Linked DNA regions of Elephas maximus indicus. The protein of the gene in region 2 purifies or fractionates together with the protein of the main gene of each other region. This does not show direct contact. Links are inferred from orthologs where the notes say so. Each region holds a gene or a part of one and is shown on either strand. Other genes may lie near its edges.

Evidence for each region.
Region 1: the proteins of NFKBIA (region 2) and E3 ubiquitin-protein ligase TRIM22-like purify together in Homo sapiens (affinity purification with western blotting; 3 studies listed by BioGRID). This does not show direct contact. The link is inferred for Elephas maximus indicus from reciprocal best matches to the Homo sapiens genes NFKBIA and TRIM22.

The regions. Positions count from the first base shown.
Region 1 is NC_064825.1:57,934,855-57,945,147, reverse strand, and holds the start of E3 ubiquitin-protein ligase TRIM22-like, read right to left. Parts: upstream 4,691-10,293; 5' UTR 4,585-4,690; exon of another isoform or gene 4,503-4,584; intron 2,898-4,502; 5' UTR 2,829-2,897; coding exon 2,406-2,828; intron 1,619-2,405; coding exon 1,523-1,618; intron 860-1,522; coding exon 629-859; intron 1-628. UniProt on the Homo sapiens protein: Interferon-induced E3 ubiquitin ligase that plays important roles in innate and adaptive immunity.
Region 2 is NC_064828.1:47,725,365-47,735,634, reverse strand, and holds NFKBIA (NF-kappa-B inhibitor alpha), read left to right. Parts: upstream 1-5,992; 5' UTR 5,993-6,117; coding exon 6,118-6,344; intron 6,345-6,989; coding exon 6,990-7,098; intron 7,099-7,429; coding exon 7,430-7,640; intron 7,641-7,936; coding exon 7,937-8,025; intron 8,026-8,141; coding exon 8,142-8,402; intron 8,403-8,751; coding exon 8,752-8,799; 3' UTR 8,800-9,326; downstream 9,327-10,270. UniProt on the Homo sapiens protein: Inhibits the activity of dimeric NF-kappa-B/REL complexes by trapping REL (RELA/p65 and NFKB1/p50) dimers in the cytoplasm by masking their nuclear localization signals.

The sequences.
Region 1 (10,293 bases), on a different chromosome or scaffold from region 2:
TGTCTCACATGCTTTGAACCCATAAAGATTTCAGCCTAGAAAAACCCGTGGGGCAATTCTACTCTGTCGCATAGGGTCACTATGAGTCCGAATTGACTTTACAACCCATAGCAACAAGTGTAGACTGGCTATTTTAGAAGGACAAAGAGCACCTTAAGTGCTCAAGCTATTTTCAGAAACTATATACAAAACGTCAAACTGAGTTCTTTGTCCCACAATTATCAAAGAAGTTATGTTTTTATTTTTAAAATTTTCCCAAAATTAATGTGTACGTATTTGCCTGTGACTAAGCCTAGTAAAGAGATGTCTGACAAACACTCAACACTAGGTCACAGATAACAGCAACATATAGAATAAATCTATATGAGGTATGGATACAGTGAAACTCCAGGATCAAATTTTTACACTGCCCTTCATAAATTAACAATAATGGATACTTTCCCTTGCCATTCATACACTGAATTACCCCCATCACACCTGAAATGAATGGCAATGAAGGGACACCACAGGGCCAAAGGAATTTCTTAATGCCACTACCAGGAAGAAAGCCCAGGGACCCAGTAAGGAAGGAAACTTGGTCTCTGTTTTTCCCGAATCTCACATGTAGGAGCTCCATTCCAAGTCTTACTTGCAGCATCTCTACTGATGACCCCTGCATCCGACGCTCCACATCTGAGATGAGCTCGCTCAGTTCCTGGTCCTGCTGGATCAGCTGGTATTTAGCTGCTGCCAGGCTATCCAGAACTTTCACGTCTTCTTCCTCCAGCTTGTGCAGCTCCCTCTTCTTCTCATTGTCCAGGATGGCATGCAAGTCATTAAAACCTGCCAGAATCCTTTGTCTCTCAGCCTGTGTCTGATGCTTTGGAAACAGGGAAGAGAAAGAGGCAGTCAGTTGTCAGTTTGGTTGAGGATCTACTTTGCAAGGTGCTGGGAGCCAGGATAAGAACTATTTTCTTCAGGGAGTTCTCACAAGGAGGGGAGGTGAAAGCCACAGAGCAATTCCAGGGGAAGCTGTTTGTTTCTACAATTTTTTCTTGACCTCGTTCCAAAACAATATCCTCGAGCCTGCTTTATTAAGGTACACTGAGAGCCAAAATGTAATACTTTGATGAGGCTTGAATTGCAGATACCTGTCCGGGACACTCATGCCTATCTATGCATTAAAACACTCTTCCCCAACCCCCATGTTTAATCCCAAAGCTGGGAACCTGGACCTTTGCCCAACATCTTTCCTGCACATATCAGAGCCTCAAACCTGATGAAGGAATGGGACAGAAGATTCATAAGCCATTTTCACAATTGTTTCCCTCATAGTCTTCATCTCCAAATATTTTATTTCACTTGTGATATGTCCACTCTCCAGCCCCCTACCTCCAACAGGGGAGGAATGAAGGACTAATCAAATAGCTTCTGTACTCATTAATTCTAAACGAGCAAAAAGGAAGGAGCCTCTTGTGACTAGAACCCAAGTTGCTGCCCAGATTCATGTCTCAGAACTCCCTCAGGAAGCGTTTCCTCTTACCTTCCAAGAAGCTCTCTCTTCTGTAATCTGAGCTTCCAAATTCTTGGCTTCCAGCTGCTCCTTCCTCAGCCTTATGAGAGTCTCCTGGAGCTTCTCCTGTGAGAACAGAATCACACCACTGCTTTCTCAGCACCTGAACAGAGGATACATTGGTGCAGAAATCAGGCTGATCTCAGAAGAGACCAGAGTTTACAGAAACTGTGAGACTGGCCATTAGAATCTATGACTCAGACAAAAATCTGAGGAGGTGAATGTGTTCTTTATTCCTGAGTAGTGGAAGTCACTATCTCCTCATCGAGAGTAGCCCTGATTCTCCACTGAGTTTATGTTAATGGTGGTGGGATGACTTGGAAAAGGATAGCAAGACCGGTGGCACAACTTAAAGAATGTAATCGCTGTCATTGAATTATACATGAAGAAATTGCTGAGATGGCATGTTTTGTTGTGTATATTTTCAGTTATTTTAAAAAAAAAAAGAGTAATCTGATTCTCTTTTGTCCTAGAGGAAGAATTAATCCTGCAGCAAGGAAAATCCTTTCTTCTCATTGACTTTCTTCCCCACATCTGACCAACCATGTCCTCTAGTAGTTCTTCTGCTCAGAAAGGCAAGAAGAATTTATTTTGGGAAGCAATTCTCTACTCATTCAACAAAAGGAAAACAAAACAAAGCAAAACAAGTTTCTCTTCTCTTGGCTAAGTGTCTGCAGTCTAGGCTAATCTTTTATGTAAATAGAAGACATGCACAGAAATGTCCTCCAGGCCTTGATTAGAGTATGGGAAGCTATCACAGGACTTAATTCTATGGTGAAAAAGTGAGGAAAGAAGAAAGTGGAGATTTCTGAGTGCTACCTTCTTCCCTGTCTTTCTCTACCCTGAGCCGTACCTGACATTTCTTGGCCATCTCCTCCACAAGGAGCGTTTGGTGACCACAGTGCTCCTGAGACCTCACACAAAGCCAGCAGATGGCCTTCTCATCATTTTTACAGAACAACAGAAGTTTTTCTCCATGGTACACACAGAGACCACTTGTTTGCCCCTCCTGTGGGCTCAACTTGGCCTCCCTGAATCTCTTCACTATGTTGGCCAGATGATGATTAGGCCATAGATTCCCAGGCTGGTAGCTGGCATGGCACACAGGACAGCTTTTTTCCCCTCCTGGCCTGATGGTCAGTGACTCCTCATTCTTCGCAGTGATGCAGGCTTGACAAAAGCTATGCCCACAGCCTAGGCTCAGGGGTTCCGTGAGGAGCTCCAGGCAGATGGGGCAGGTCACCTCCTTCTGTATGTCTGCCCGGACTGAAGCCATTTCGCTGCTTTCCTAGCCTCTGCCAGTCCTGGCTCCTGAGTCTCTTCTTGCTCACAAACACCTGCAGGGCTGGGAATGTAAAAGTGGGCACTGTAAGGAATGTAGGGATTAAAAGGATACTGATTGTACAGAGATTTAGGACAGGACAAAATAATATAATGAAGAAACATAAAGAGACAAGAAGAGTAGGACAGTGACAGAATGAAAGGGCTTCTTCTAATAATTTCAAACACTTTACTCTCAGTTTATGTCACATGACAAATTCCACCCTTATCAGGGCAATGATTGCTATTTTCTCTTCCACTGGACAGAAGGGCAAACTGAGGCCCTACAGATCAGGAGCCTTGTGTAACCCACTTGCCTTTTCTTCCTGATCTCAAAACACTGGTTTTATGTTATATACACTAAACCCACCACTACCCCCCGCTCCTTTTGCACTTGCTCTTCTCTCTGCAGGAAGTGATTCAACCCCTGATATGCGTATGATTCATTTTTTTTTTTAAGAGCTTTACTGAATTGTAATTCACATCCCATCCAATGGACTTATTTTAAATGTACAATTCAATTAGTAAATTTATGGAGCTGCATAACCATCACCACAATCCAAAGGTAGAATGTTTCTATCACCAGACACAAAACTGGTGCCAATTAGCAGTTCACTCCCCATTCTGACCTCTGGCCCCAGACAATCATTAATTTCCTTTGCATCTTTATAGATTTAAATTTTATAGAATTTTTGATCAATTCATAAAAATAGAATCATAATATGTGGTCTTTTGCATCTGCTTTCTTTCACTTAGCCTACTGTTTCTGAGGCTCATCCAGCCTGTCTTTCTTTCCTACACCAAAAAACCATGCTCAGGGTTAAAAGCACCAAACCCACAGCTGCCTGTAGGTTTTTGCACTTAGCTTTTCTCTCTTCATGGAATGATCCACCACCCAATACTTGCACAACTCATGTTTATACTTCATTCAACTTTCTCCTCACACGACCTGTGGTGGCTAACTTACACCCACAACCAACCACCACTCATTATACATTTGCCATCGTCCACCACTCATTATACATTTGCCATCGTCCTCTTACTTTCACTATGTAACATATGACACCTTTGGTTCAAGTTGTGCCCCCTCCCCTTAAAAACTTAATCCACTCATAGACCAGGCACTTTAGTTTGCTGGGAAGAGATTTTCTGCTGGCCTCTGACAAAAAAGACTATTCTGGCTCCCTTTGGCTTGGAAAGAAAAGGAAGGAGATGGGTGTGGTTTCAGCCTGGAAAATAATGGTCCCTACAATTTTTTACAAGGAGCCCTTGGTGGCACAGTGATTAAGAAGTATGGGTTGCTTACCAAAAATTTGACAGTTTGAATCTACCAGCTGCTGCTTGGAAACCCTATAGAGCAGTTCTACTCTGTCGTGTAGGGTCACTATGAGTCAGAACTGACTCAATGGCAATGGGAACAGGAAAAAAACAAGCCCCTTTGCTTTTCCAAACCCGTCTTCATTAAAGGCTGCCCATCCCCCAGATTCGACCCCTGCAGGAAGCCAGCAAACTGGCTCTATTTTTTCAATTCAGAGCAGCTTCCAGACCCTAAATCAAGCTCAGCCAAGCATAATCAACCCTTTTCCCTTGAAGTCTCCCAATCTCTGCCCCTACAAACTACCTCACACACCTTCAGGTTCAAGCAGAAAAGCTGTGACTCCATGTGGAAGAATGGAGGCAGGTCAGGGACAGGATGGTCTAGATTTACTCACCAAACCAGGGGCTTAATGCTCACAAAGTAGAGAAATGAAAGTTAAATTATCGAAAACAGGAAGCTGAAGTGAAACTTTAGAGGGAAGCCACTCCCCAGGGGCCTGAAGGAGGGGTTAGACTTTAACACTTTCTGGTACATGGGCAGCTAGGAGCCCAGCTACTACATTTTTTATTCCTATCCGAGCTGTGGGGAAAACCTGGTGGCATAGTGGTTAAGTGCTACAGCTGCTAACCAAAGGGTCGGCAGTTTGAATCCACCAGGAGTTCCTTGGAAACCCTATGGGGCAGTTCTACTCAGTCCTATAGGGTCGCTATGAGTCGGAGTTGACTCTATGGCACTGGGCTTTATCCTAGCTGTACTCTGGCAAAAATATTTGAATAAGAAAAATGTAAATCACAATTATATCATCCCCACAGTTTGCCTGAGAACTCAGAATGTGAATTATTTGTATTCTTAGATATTCTGTATTCAGGCTGTGCAAGTCACTAAGGGTAAAATATTGATCCAGAAAGGCTTGGCACCTGACCACTTATAACACAGTCTCCCGGAGGAGAGAATCAATTAAAAAAAAAAAAAAACTAGGCTATAATATCTATGAATTTTACAAGTCCATCTGTTAATTAACAAGTTTCTGTTCCTTATTTTGGCAGGTTGGAAGAGGAAGCATTTCATAGACTACTAGAGGTTCAATTTAATCTTTGTCATGCAAGCCAGCAACTCATAATGCAGGTAAGGACATAGCAGTTAATAGACGGTGCTATTTAAGTGTAATTTTTCACTGAGTCACACTCACATGTACAAGGCTTTTTTTTTTTTCTTTTCATCCTTAGGAAAAAGTTTGATATGTACACCATCATTCAAAAAATAGAAGTGAATCACTTTACATTGTTTGCACATGTTTTTGTGCCCTGAGTCTACCTTGCTCTTGCTCTGACTGCATACGCCAATGGTGCAGCTACAAGATGGAAGAGGCTCCATAACACGGGTCTCTGACTGACAGGGTGGGACCAGGAATCCTCCCACTTTAACTGACATGAGAGCGATAGAAGGTACTGAGAAATCAATTTTTATAATATTAAAGCATTATAATATTTTGGTATTGTTTATTACCCACAGAAAAACCAGCTAATCCTAGCTTAAAGAATTTTTTGACTCATATCTATGAGTCAGGAACTTATAACCATATTGGAATAATTGCTATAGTTTTATTTTGTATAGGTGAGGTTCATTCTACCAGTTAAGAAACTCATGTTGTTCAAGTGTAGTGATCTTCATCTCAATGTTGTTCAAACTGTTTTTGTTGTTATTGTTGTACTTTAGATGAAGTTTACCGAGAAAATTAGTTTCTCATTAAACAATTAATACACATATTGATTTATGACATTGGTTGCCAACCCTACGATGTGTCCACACTTGCCCCTCTTGACCCTGGGTCCCCCATTACCACATTTCCTGTCCCCTCCTGCCTTCTAGTCCTTGCCCCTGGGCTGGTGTGCCATTTTGGTATTGTTTTATTTTATGAGCCTGTCTAATCTTTGAATGAAGGGTGAACCTCAGAAGTGACTTCATTACTGAGCTAAAAGGGTGTCTGGGGGCCATACTTTAGGGGTTTCTCCAGTCTCTGTCAGGCCAGTGAGTCTGGTCTTTTTTGGGGGCAGGGGCAGGGAGTTAGAATTTTGTTCTACATTTTTCTCCAGCTGTGTCCGGGACCCTGTATTGTGATCCCTGTCAGAGTAGTCAGTGGTGGTAGGGTAGACAAGCACCATCTAGTTTTGTTGGACTCAGTCTAGTGGAGGCTGTGGTGCTTGTGGTCCATTAGTCCTTTGGACTAATCTTTCCCTTGTGTCTTTGGTTTTCTTCTAGAATATAGAACATTTTCTTCATAAACTGTGTTATGCCAATTGAGCTAGATGTTCCCTGAGACCATTAAACCCAAAATTATAGCTGGAGCAAAACATAAACCCAAATTAAAAAAATGTTTTTCTGAATCTCATCCAAAATAAAAAAACCATTATTTTCTTAGCTCTGCTATTTTTCATTCAACAATAATTTTTAAGTTGTAAACAAGACCATTGGACCATTTGTTTGATTTGCATCTGGCACCCATGTATGCCGAATGTTTCTCTGGCATATGGCTGGTAAGGGCACAGTTCATTGATTCAGCAAGCAACGTTGTGCAGTTGCAGCTATAGGCGATGACTGCTGCTACCCAGGATATGATTCACAGGACAGTCAGAGCTCACGGTTTCCACTCCGTGCTTGACCCCTCTCACAGTAATGCAAGCTGTGCCTACCAAGAATGTGAGAAACACTCAGCAGTTGAGAACACTTGCAGTTAGAAATCTGAAGAAGCTGGTTAAACTGCATCGAGTTCTGAACAGAGTTTCATTTGAATGGAAGTTTGCCAAGTGAGCAAACATTTAAATACACATTATTCACATTTTTTAAGTGTGATATTTAAATTCAAGAAATAAAAAATCTCCATCATTGATGGTTCTAACAGGGATCACAATAGAGGGTCCCAGACAGAGTTGGGGAAAAATGTAGAACAAAATTCTAACATACAAAAAAAAAAAAAAAAGAAGACCAGGCTTACTGGTCTGACAGAGACTAGAGAAATCCTGAGAGTATGGCCCCTGTACACCCTTTTAGCTCAGTAATGAAGTCGCTCCTGAGGTTCACCCTTCAGCCAAACGTTAGACAGGCCCCTAAACCAAAGCAAGACTAAAGGTGCACACCAGCCCAGGGGCAAGGACAAGAAGGCAGGAGGGAACAGGAAAGCTGGTAATAGGGAACCCAAGGTCCAGAAGGGAGAGTTTTTGACATGCAATGGGGTTGTTAACCAATATCACAAAATAATATGTGAGCTCTTTAATGAGAAGCTATTTTGTTCTGTAAATCTTCATCTAAAGTAAAATAAAAAAAGAAAAAAATGGTGCATAATTTTTTGATGATTCCATTCTCTTTCTTTTTTAATTGTGCTTTAAGCAAAAGTCTACAATTCACATCAATTTCTCATACAAAAACCTACACACACATGGCTATGTGGCCCTAGTTGCTCTTCCTATAATGTGACAGCACATTCCTCCTCTCCACCCTGTATTTCCCGTGTCCATTTAACCAGCTTCTGTCGCCCTCTTCCTTCTCATCTTGCCTCCGGACAGGAGCTGCCCACATAGTCTCATATATCTACTTGAGCTAAGAAGCACACTCCTCACCAGTGTCATTTTATGTCTTACAGTCCAGTCTAATCTTTGAAGATTGGCTTTGGGAATGGTTTTAGTTTTGGGCTAACAGAGAGTCCTGGGGCCATGTCCTCTGGGGTCCCTCCAATCTCAGTCAGACCATTAAGTCTGGTCTTTTGACTAGAATTTGAGGTTTGCATCCCACTTTTCTCCTGCACCATCAGGGACTCTCTATTATGTTTCCTGTCAGGGCAGTTATTGGTGGTAGCCAGGCACCATCTAGTTCTTCCGGTCTCAGGCTGATGGAGTCTCTGTAGTTTATATGGCCCTTTCTGTCTCTTGGGCTCATATTTTCCTTGTCTCTTTAATGTTCTTCATTCTCCTTTGCTCCAGGTGGGTTGGGAGCAATTGATGTATCTTAGACGGCTGCTTGCTAGCTTTTAAGATCCCAGACACCACTCACCGAAGTCAGATGCAGAACATTTTTCTTAATAAACTTTGTTATGCCTATTGGCCTAAATGTCACCTGAAACCGTGGTCCCCAGACCCCTGCCCCTGCCACTCTGTCCGTCAAAGTGTTTGGTTATATTCAAGAAACTTCTTAGCTTCTGGTTTAGTCCAGTTGTGCTGACCTCTCCTGTATTGTGAGTTGTCCTCCCCTTCACCTAAAATAATTCTTGTCTACTACCTAGTTAGTGGGAAACCCTGGTGGTGTAGAGGTTAATTGCTGCAGCTGCTAACCAAATCCAGTTCAAATGCAGTTCAAATCCACCAGGCACTCCTTGGAAACTCTGTGGAGCAGCTCCACTCTGCCCTATAGGATCGCTATGAGTCGGAATCAAGTTGACAGAGATGGGTTATGAGTTATCTAGTTAGTGAATACTCCTCACCCTCCCTCCCTACCCTTGTAACCATCAAAGAATGTTTTCTTTTGTGTTTAAACTTTTTCTTGAGTTCTTATAATAGTGGTCTCATACAATATTTGTCCTTTTGTGACTAACTTCATTTGCGTAATGCCTTCCAGATTCATCCATGTTATGAGCCGTTTCAGAGATTCATCGTTGTTCTTTATGCTTGCATAGTATTACATTGTGTGAATATAGCATGATTTGTTTATGATGATTCCATTCTTGTATTAAATTTTGATTTAAATGTACTATTGCATATTCTTTGTCCATACAGGTTTAAATTTGGTATTTATATCACAAATCGAAATGTTAACAAGTATCAGTAAATGGTGGAAGGGAAATTAATGTTTCAATTGTGACATGCCATTATTTCACTGAAAGCAATTTGATGGCATCACTATGAAATAAGATTTTTCTTCAAAAGGTGTGGAATAAATTTACAAGTATGTTGTAAAGCGGGGCTTCCAATAAAATAAATCAGCACACCCAAAATTAGTAGTGATCTGGAAAAATGAACATTCTCTTTGAAGGTGGATGTTGCCAGTAGATTGAGTTGGTTAATTCTAGGAATTAATGCTCAGTTTGCACAAGATAGTAAGATACATCTGTTGAGACACTGGGAAAGAATTAAAAGACACAGAGCTCTGTACCTAAAAAACACACTGTATCAAATTTTTAGAGAAGTACATTGATTTACAACAGATTTATTCTGTAATCACGGATAATAGCTCTAATATGATTGAATTTGTTGATTTGCTCAGAAATGATAGTGAAATCAAATGGCAAATTTCAGGCAAAAATGAGTTTCAAAGATTCTGACTTTGTACACTTTGACTTGCAGACATTAACCACTGTAGAGTGAAGTGAAAGCAACACGGTTTATAAGATTATAGTATGGTATTATGGTATAAAGTGTGATGAACACACACTTTGCTTAGTTATTAAATAAGCAATGGAAGATGCTGAGCTGGAAGAATTTTTAAGAGTAGGCTGCAAACTCATTTGGATAATGCATATTCCGACATTGCCTACCAAATTTTCAAAAAATAAGTTAAAGAAACCTGTACCGGATCGCCCAACAAGATGCAACGGTATGAACCCCGTGTTAGAAATATTACCAGGATGCAATATTTTTTGCAATATATTATTGTTAGGTGCTGTAGAATTGGTTCCGACTCATAGCAACCCTATGTACAACAGAAGGAAACAATGCCTGGTCCTGCACCATCCTCACAATTGTTATTATGCTTGAACCCATTGTGGCAGCCACTCTGTCAATCCATCTTGTTAAAGGTCTTCCTCTTTTTTTGCTGACTCTCTACTTTACCAAGCATGGTATCCTTCTCCAGGGACTAGTTCCTCTTGATAACATGTCCAAAGTATATGAGACGTAGTTTTGCCATTCTTATTTCTAAGGAGCATTCTGGTTGTACTTCTTCCAAAGCAGATTTGTTCATTCTTTTGGCAGTCCATGGTATACTCAATATTCTTTGCCAACACCATAATTCAAAGGCATCAGTAATTCTTCGATCTCCCTTATTCTTCAAAGTGTTAGCTGAGAATAATATGAAATATTACTTTTCTAATGATGAGTGGGCATAAGAAATTAATTTT
Region 2 (10,270 bases):
TGGAATTTGCCCAGTGCCAAGTCTCTTTGTACCTTGACTAAACTTGGGATGAATCTGTACCCAAGACAAAATAGCAAATAAACTGGCATGCAGGAGAAGCAACATGCTTTTTAGCCTCAGCCGCCTTTCTGATCCAACTACTCCTCCCTGAACACAACAGAACATGAACAATCCTACACACCTGTAAGTATCACGTGGTTACTGCTGGCAAACAGTGAAGAGGGAGAGGCAGGAATTTTGGCCAACAGTGACACGTGCAGGTCTCCTCCTTGCCTTGCACCAGGTTACCCAATAGGCAGACTGGGCACGTGGTTAGGGCACCAGCAAAGCAGGAACACCTTAAAAGATGTTTGTTGAAAGAATTTACTTTTTGAAGAAAAAAATTAAGTAGTCCTCATGGGAAACAATCAGAATTTTGTTAGACTTCTTACATTCAGTTTACATTCTACTGTTTCGGAAAATTGCTTTTGCAAAGGGATAACTCTTTCCAAGGCTTACCAGTTGCTGTGGAGGTGATTCCGGCTCATGGCAACCTCGTGTGTGCAGAGTAGGACTGTGCTCCATAGGACTTTCAAGGCTCTGATGGTTTGGATGCAGATTGCCAGGCCTTTCTTCCAAGGCACTTCTGGGTGGCTTCAAAGCGCCCACCTTTGGGATAGTAGTTGAGCTCTTAACCATTTATGCTACCCAGGGACCTCTTTCAGGGTTTTGTTGTTGTTGTTGTTGCCTTCCAGAGAGCAGACCTACACTTTCCTGTATTGACACAGTCCAGCCCCCGCCTCTGCTAACGCAGAGAAGCAGAGACCCCTTGATGCCACAGGAGCTGAAGGTAGGCGCCCTCTCCCAAAGCACCATTACGATGTCATGCCTTGGCTGAAAAAGAGGTTGTAAACTCGGGGCCTGCGGGCTTTAACTGGCCAAAAGATTTTTAAAACTGCATTTTTTTTTTTCCTTTGGTCTTCACAATGTTTTAAAAATTGGAAAATTTCACATGAAAATTCTTTTTCCTGATTTTTTTTTTCTTTAATGATGGAATATCAGTCCTGAGCTCAAAGTCCTGCATAGCAAAAATTACCTGAGCTGAGCATGAGGGATGTGCACTCCGTGGTCTAGGTTGTGAGAGAGACCACCACTCCCTTGGACTCACGTGGTCTCTTCACTCATCTATGAAACCTGCCTGGCTCCTAAGGGTGGGAAGATGTTGGAAATTGAGATCCCTTAAAGATTGAATTTCCGTTAAACTGCACAACCTCTAGCAAGGGGAGTACAGTCAGCCTTTGTCAGTCTTATCTTCACTCTGAATGAAAGTCCTGACAGCTGTTTTTCTGTGGGGAAACGTCCATAGTTTGGGTGCTGTAGGTTCTGAGAGGAATGTAGGCGCTTGATAATCACACTAAGAAAAAATAGGACTAAGCATGAGGTTGGCACCAGAATACCAATTCGGCATTTCAAAATGGAGCTGAAGTGCTCATTAGGAGTTTTCCTGCCTGGCTTGCCCCTCAGAGACTCTGCCATGGCTCCTCCCTCCCAGCCTGGCTGCCCTGAGTGGTAGAAAGCGGAATTCAGCAATTCAATTTGCTGGGACCAAAACAATTTAGGTTTAATTGGCCCGGGCAATTGGCACAGACCACCCTGCCCATGATGTTAAGAAAAGTCCAGGACGTAGGACCACCTGACTGAACTTACAGAAGCTCTCCACCATGCCAGGCCACCAGGCACTTGGGGCAGTGGGTTCAGTCCCCACTGCATTTCCCATCAAGGGAAGAGCCCACGAAGGGATGCTGCTCCTTTCCCACTGGAGTGCTCTTTCCTGCCCACAGTGAGGCTCAGGATGGTCCTCCTTTCCCACTGGAGTGCTCTTTCCTGCCCACAGTGAGGCCCAGGAGAGTGTGTTCCTTTCCCATCGAAATGCTCCTTCCTGCCTACAATGAGGCTCAGAATGGTGCTCATTTCCCACCGGAGTGCTCCTTCCTGCTCACAGTGAGGCCCAGGGAGCATCACTGCCACCCTGTTATTCCTTCCGGCTTCATCCAGGGCTAAAATACAAAGCAACTTCAGGGTGTAATATATTATTTTGCCTTCTGCATTAAAAAAGGGGGGGGGGGAATGAAATTATAACTTAGTTGTCTAAGGTTTTAACATCTTTAAAATGGTCAAGTTTAGCTGAAATGTTTGACATTGAGGTGGGGAGAAATAATCTAATCTTCCCCTGCCCCTGCTCATGCTTTCTGATTTCCAAGAGTGTTCTTTTTTCCTCCAGGTTGTAATGTTTGTTGATTTGTGATACGGAGAAAACCTGTTGGATCATATTATTCAAAACTGTTTCCTAGAGCTGCAGGAAAACAAAAGGTACCTTCTGTGAATCCCTACTGTAAAGACAGGTCATCAGGGCCCAGTACCTCCTAAAATGTAAAAAAGTGCTGCGACAAATCAGGAAACTCCTGGGCCTAACTCTTACCACTAGGTGTCACTCTAAACAATCAGGAATAAAAACCACCGGTCCTGAAGGAGGTGCAAAGAAATTTAGTCTAGTACATGGAATTGATTTGACAGCACACAACCACCACCCGCATCACGTTATAGGGTCACTGAGTCGGAATCAACTCGACAGCAATGAGTTTGGTTTTTGAGAACCTATTATTCCTGAGAAAATTTTCACTTAGGCATGATTTTCATTCTAATAATCATTTTTAAACCTGCAGTTAAAAATCCTCCACTAACATCTGGGGTCTTCGATGCCAGCAAGTGGCCATCTAAGATGCATCAATTGGTCTCAACCCACTGGGAGCAGAGGAGAATGAAGAACACCAAAGACACGGCGTGATTATGAGCCCAAGAGACAGAAAGGGCCACATAAACCAGAGACTACATCAGCCTGAGACCAGAGAACTAGATGGTGTCTGGCTACAACAGATGACTGCTCTGACAGGGAACACAACAGAGAACTCCCCAGGGAGCAGGAGAGCAGTGGGATGCAGACCCAAATTCTCATAAGAGAGACCAGACTTAATCATCTGACTGAGACTAGGACCCCGGAAGTCATGATCCCCAGACCTTCTGTTAGCCCAAGACAGGAACCATTCCTAAAGCTAACTCTTCAGGCAGGGATTGGACTGGACCATGGGATAGAAAATGATACTGGTGAAGAATGAGCTTTCTTGGATCAAGTAGACACACGAGACTATGTTGGCATCTCCTATCTGAAGGTGAGATGAAAGGGTAGAGAGGGTCAGAACCTGGCCGAATGGACACAAAAAGAAATAGAGGAGGTCTCCTGCCTGGAGGGGAGATGAGAGGGTAGAGGGGGTTAGCAAACCAAAAAACTAAACCCAGTGCCGTCGAGTCGATTCCGACTCATAGCGACGAAGCTAGCAAAATGGACATGAAAAGAGAGAGTGGAGGGAGAGAGCAGGCTGTCTCATTAAAAAAAAAAGGGGGGGGGGGAGGGTAATTGGGAGTATGTAGCAAGGTGTATATAAGTTTTTGTGTGAGAGACTGACTTGATTTGTAAACTTTCACTTAAAGTACAATAAAAATTAAAAAAAAAAAAACAGGGAAGGAGTGTGCTGTCTCATTACGGGGAGAGCAATTAGGAGTATACAGCAAGGTGTTTATAAATTTTTGTATGAGAGTCCAACGTGATTTGTAAACTTTCACTTAAAGCACAATTAAAAAAAAAATCCTCCACTAAGGTATTCTTTATAAATGGAGTATTTAGAGTTCAACATTGCTATGCACTTTTTTAAAGGAGTAAATATCCCCAGACAGAAATAACACCTACTCTCTGTTTTTTACCTGACAGAGTAGAAAACACGTGGAGTACCTTCCAATCGTAGTGTATTCAGTCCTGTTTCCACAATGTGTTTGCACAAAGTGTCAATACTATGACTGCTTTGGCCAAATGGTTAACATAATGGCATAAAAATTTGATAAATTGCCGTTGGACACCTGGGTAAATTACTCTGCATTTCAGTTTCTTTTTAGGAAATTAGGAACAATGTCTATCTTACAGACTAGTTTTGAGAACTAACAATGTGATGCATAAAGTGTTGGAGTCCTTCCAAAAATGTATACTTTGATATTTCCAAGAGCCATGGTCACCCTTACAAAACAGGGTTAGACATGCGTTTGTGGCAAAGTAATACAATTTTTAAGCTGGAAAAGACCTTAAGTAACATTAAATTCAGTCTTACTATTTTCCAAGTGAGTATACCACAGAAGAGTTAACTGATTTCAATATGCAGTTAACTAGAGGCAGAGCCTGGCACTGAGATCTACTTACACTCCCTGTAATATGCCTCAATAATCGCAAATTTGCATATTATATGCCTGCAGACAATGCAGTTTTCACCTTAACATGTTGTAATTGCTACCTTAAAGCTTTTATTTCACGATTTTAGTTCAGGGTTTTTTCCCCCCTCATACTTAGTCTCTCACCCCATTGACCCTGACTCCCCACATTCAGATATGGGGGAGGTGGCGATGGGGAGAGGAGAATGGTTGGTCAGTACACAGCCAGTGAAGGTAAAGATAATTGAAATAATCACCAGAAAACTCTGCAAAACTAGAGGCCTCCTGGCGCTAAATCTGAAGAACTCTGATCTAAGTTGCTTTATTTTGCATGGGTCAATTCTAGCAGTACCCATTAACCCACTGCCGTCAAGTGGATTCTAACCCTATAGGACAGAGTAGAACTGCCCCACAGAGACTCTAAGGATCACCTGTTGGATTCGAACTGCCGACCTTTTGGTCAGCAGCCATAGCACTTAACCATTACGCCACCAGGGTTTCCATCCAATTAAAGCAGTAGATGAATTCAATTCATAGCTTGCTGATTAGGAGGTGAGGGTGGGGGCAGCAAGCATAAATTCTATTTCTGCAGATGAAATCGATGAATGCTGAGCACAAACCCCTTTATCTCTAGAGTGACTAAGGTGGATGGGTACAACCACTGCCCTCCCTCAGCGCAAGGGCAGCAAGTACGAGCCAGCAGGGGCAGGATGGGGCAGTGTTAGGGCTGTCTTAGGGCCTTCTGCAGGATGCATAACCGTTACTTTCTTAGCCATCCTTAAGGCCTAATCTTGGGTAAGACACCGTTGAACCCATTCTTCAGCATCCTTCTCCAAATGCTCCTGGAAAATCACCCAGCTGGCACCCAGAAGCAGGTTTTCGGGTCCATTTTCTGCAGCAACACAATGCAAATCAGAGAGAGAGACCTCAATAGTTACTTCGTTATTGCAAGATAGCTATGAAGATTAACGCCTTGCTCTACCTGAAATAATTCTGATCATATTTAACACTTTCCCACTTATTGGGGCAAGCACTTTCCCAGTCAACAAGACTGTTAATCCCGAGGAAACGATCTGAGGGTTCTCCACGCATTTAGGCTTTTAACACCAAAGTTTTCACAACTTCTACCTGGGAAAGCTAAATGTCCCTGCATTGCAAAGAGCCTACTATTGGCAGAATCCCAGAGGGGCCAGCGACAAGAGAACCTTCCCTGCAGAGAGAAGTTTGGGGAAATGAATCCCTATACCCAGCCATCATTTCCACTCTTGCGTTTTCAAAAGATCAAAAAACGGAAAGGACCGGCAGACTGGCAAACCCCAACGAGGAACCGTCCAGCTGGTCTGCGTCCTTGGGATCTCAGACGACCCCAAATCAAGCTGATCGAGGGAAACCCCAAGGAAAGAAGGTTTTTTTTGCAGAGGGCCGGGATTACTGAGTGCTGGCTGCAGGGAAGTACCTGGGGGAGGGGGCTTGGTCGGGAGGACTTTCCAGCCACTCAGCGCTCATCAAAAAGTTCCCTGTACATGACCCTAGTGGCTCATCGCAGGGAGTTTCTCTGTTGAACCCCGGCACAGGGTTTAGGCTTCTTTTTCCCCCTAGCAGAGGACGAGGCCAGTTCTCATTTCTGGTCTGACTAGCTTGGAAATTCCCCGCTCTTGACCCCGCCCCGGAGAAATCCCGGGCCAGCGTTTATAGGGCGCCGCGGCGGCGCTGCCGAGCCCACAACAGTCCTAACCCGCCGACCTGCCCGCGAGCGACACTACAAGGAAGCGCGCAGCCCGCGGCCGAGCGCACCTGGGGAGCAACGTCTGAAGCTTTCACCGCGCCATGTTTCAGCCTGCCGAGCACCCCCAGGAGTGGGCCATGGACGGCCCTCGGGACGGGCTCAAGAAGGAGCGGCTGCTGGACGACCGCCACGACAGCGGCCTGGACTCCATGAAGGACGAGGAGTACGAGCAGATGGTGAAGGAACTGCGCGAGATCCGCCTGGAGCCGCAGGAGGCGCCGCGCGGAGCCGAGCCCTGGAAGCAGCAGCTTACGGAGGACGGAGACTCGTAAGTGTCGAGGGGCTAGGCGGCGGGGTGGGTGGGGGGACGCTGGACGCGCGGGGCCGCGGGGCGGGGGGGGGCGCCGGGCCTGCAGCCTGAGCCGCCAGCGCCCGCGGTGCAGCAGGGCCAGCGCACGGCCGTGAGCCCGGGATTATGCACAGTCCCTGAAACCTTGCAAGGCTGCACGTCTGCGCGTGCAGGGTACGGGGGATTCGGGCTCAGACCCTGGGGGCCGCGGTTCAGCAGCTCTGCTCTACAGCGGCAGTTCCACACACACCCCTAGCCGGGTCTGGGTCCTCCCGGCCGGGGGCGGGGCGGCGGTGAGGAGGCGAAGTCCCCAGTTGCATAAGGGGGGGCGGGAGTTTCTGTCCCGCTGGCGGGCGCCGCGCGGCCGGGAGGGGAAGTACAGGGCGTTCCGGCCTGGCGGGAGGGCGGGGCGGTCTGGCCGGCGCCCGCCGAGTAGGGAGGGGGGGCCCGGAAAGTCCCTGGGCGCCTGCCAGGAACACTCAGCTCATAATAACCTCGCGGAAAACACCGCGGCCTCGGCCTACAGAAACCCCGGCCTTGCGCAATCCCCCGCAGCCCGCGCCTCCCTGGGCCCCACGCAGTGCACTCACCACCCCTGGGGGTTTTTCCCTCTCTTCCCCTCAGGTTCCTGCACTTGGCCATCATCCATGAAGAGAAGGCACTGACGATGGAAGTGATCCGCCAAGTGAAGGGAGACCTAGCCTTCCTCAACTTCCAGAACAACCTGCAGCAGGTGCGCGGCTTGCCAGCCCTGTGCCCTTTCTGACCCTGTGGTGGAGCTGGATTAACAAAGTGGCTCTGGCACAGTTGCCCCCAAATCCTTTCTAAATTAAGTCATCAGTCATTATCTGCCCTAGCCTTTTACAGTTAAACCAATGAGCATCCAACAGGGTAAAGAAAACCCCATTGATTTGGTGAGGCTTTTATGGCCCACCTAGGGCCTCTGGTCTTTCCTCACCCCCTGGAGCAGTGCCCAAACCAGGAGATGTCTGGGGTCCAAGGGAGCCCAGATTGCACGTTTGGTTCATGGCTTATCCTCTTTCTGTTCTTTCTTCTGCTTGTAGACTCCACTTCACTTGGCTGTGATCACCAACCAGCCAGAAATTGCTCAGGTTCTTCTGGGAGCTGGCTGTGATCCTGAGCTCCGAGACTTTCGAGGAAATACCCCCCTACACCTTGCCTGTGAGCAGGGCTGCCTGGCCAGTGTAGGAGTTCTGACACAGACCCGTCCAACCCAGCACCTCCACTCCATCCTGCAGGCCACCAACTACAATGGTGAGTGGGCCACCCCGCCCCACCAGAGGGCAGGTGACGTGGAGCGGGGGAGGTGGGCAGACAACAACAGTTCACCCACTTAAGGAGCCCAGGCAAGAGCTTCAACTTCCAACATGGGAAAGGCTGAGAAAATATGTATGAAAAATTGCCTATATGATGCGTTTATAAATAAGGTTCATTCAGAACCCAGATTCAGAAGACATGCCTGTTTGTCCCTTAAAAGAATAGGTGAAAGACTCTACTTGAGGTGTAAGGATTGAAACAAGTGGTCATATTTTTTCTGTTTGTTCTTCTAGGTCACACATGTCTGCACTTGGCCTCTATCCATGGCTATCTGGCCATTGTGGAGCATTTGGTGTCCCTGGGTGCTGACGTCAATGCTCAGGTGAGTGCTTCATGCCTCCAGGTGGAGTGAACCAGCCACCAGCACCCTGAATAAGACTTGTTGCAAGCAGAAATCCAAACTCAGCCATAAGCATCTTGAATTCCTTTTGGTTTCAGGAGCCCTGTAACGGCCGGACCGCCCTCCACCTTGCAGTGGACCTGCAGAATCCTGACCTGGTGTCACTCTTACTGAAGTGTGGGGCTGATGTCAACAGAGTTACCTACCAGGGCTACTCTCCATACCAGCTCACCTGGGGCCGCCCAAGCACCCGGATACAGCAACAGCTGGGCCAGCTGACCCCGGAAAACCTGCAGAGGCTGCCAGAGAGTGAAGATGAGGAGAGCTATGACACGGAGTCAGAGTTCACAGAGGATGAGGTGAGTCTTGACTGAACTTCTTCAACCTCCAACAGTCTGCAGAAACTGAGAATAGTTATTCTTCTTTCACCCTCTTGTGTCCCAAGAGCTACTCTTTATCATAAGGGTCTCAACATAGTAAAGTTCTCAAACTTAGTATTCGTGGCCAGTATCCCAGGAGCAATCTTTTTCGATACAGCTTACCCTTTTATAAGGAAAGGAGCCCGTAAAGTTAATTTATATTGGGGTTATAGAGAATGGAGTCCAAGGATACTTGAGTTATTTCCAATAGGGGGACCTCTCTGCATCATCCCAGTGTCCTTGATGAAGCTCTCAAAGTTTAACATGCCATTTTTCCTCTTGTTTTTAGCTGCCCTATGATGACTGTGTGCTTGGAGGCCAGCGCCTGACGTTATGAACAGAAAGTGTCTAAAGAAACATGGACTTGTATATTTGTACAAAAAGAGAGTTTTATTTTTCTAAAAAAAAAAAAAGAAAAAAAAAAATGTAAAGGGCATACTGATAGCCACACTGCATACTGCCTGGCTCAAAACATATTCCTGTGACGGGTCAGCCCTCATTTTGTAATTTGTGTGAATTCTGTGTGTGGGACAAGAAAGATCAGTGGAATCCAAAGGAAGCCTCACCTTTGTAGGGATTTTTTGGAGAGGGTTATCCAAAACTTGATAAAAGGACCACATTTTATTTATTGTATTTTTGACTGAACCACCATGGATTTCGTGGCTGACCCCAGTTGTATTCTGTGACGTGTAACAGCCAGGTGTGTTGTTAAACTTTGGGCAGTGTGGGATTGAAACCTTGAACTGCTGCTTGTCAAGGTTCGTGTTGCCCTCCCTCCTGTAAATGATGTACATAGTGTATTTTGTTGGTAATTATTTTGGTACTTATAAGATGTATATTTATTAAACAGATTTTTACAGAGTTGCCCTGATGACTTCCTTTGGGTTGTGCGTTTACAGAAGGCAAAAAAAAAAACCAAACCCATTGCCATTGAGTCAATTCCAACCCATAGTGACCCTATAGGATAGAGTAGAACGGCTCCGTAGAGTTTTCAGGGAGCGCCTGGTGGATTCAAACTGCTGACCCTTTGATTAGCAGGCATAGCTTTTAACCACTATGCCACCAGGGTTTCCCCATAGGGTTTACAAAGCTGTAAAGGTTCACAGAAGCAGACTGCCACATCTTTCTCCTGAAGCTCATACATAGTTCCTTACCGAGGGCACGGGCTCCTAGTCTGAGAGTCATTTGATCCTCAGGTGAAGGTGGAGGTGTGGGAGTGCTCCCTACAGCCAGCTACGTAACCCTTTCGGAAAGTAGCTTCTCACGCTGTACACACCAGCCTCCCAGCCTGGCGCGTGGGAGGCTGTTGCAAGAGCAATAGGAAACTCCAGTCTCGGGCTTGGGGTTGGGGGGGCAGCATGCTGCTTGGCCTGTAGCTGGAAGTTTTCTCCACTGTCACTTGCTTTCATTCCCTTGGTTTGAGCTGTTGCAGGACCCTCTCACTTAAATTATTTTGGCAAAGAGAAATATACTAGATTCACATTTTATAGAGCTGGAAAAGATCCCACCTACAATACTGGCAGTAACTGAGGGCATTGTTCCAGCAACGGGGCTGTCCTGATGATATTTGTTAGCAGGTGCCCATCTCTGAGCCTCATTTTCCTCATTAATAAAATGGGCTATTGTGAAGACTATATTAGACAACCCATGAAAATAGTACGGCCAAGTGCCAGGCACATAAGTTCTAAAGAAAAATATAAGCCATCATACAACTTCCTGTATTTTGCTTGGGAAGTCCAGAGAGAATATCCTGTCCAAGGTCACCTTGCAAGAGAGGCAGGTGATTAACTTACTTGAATACCTGCTTG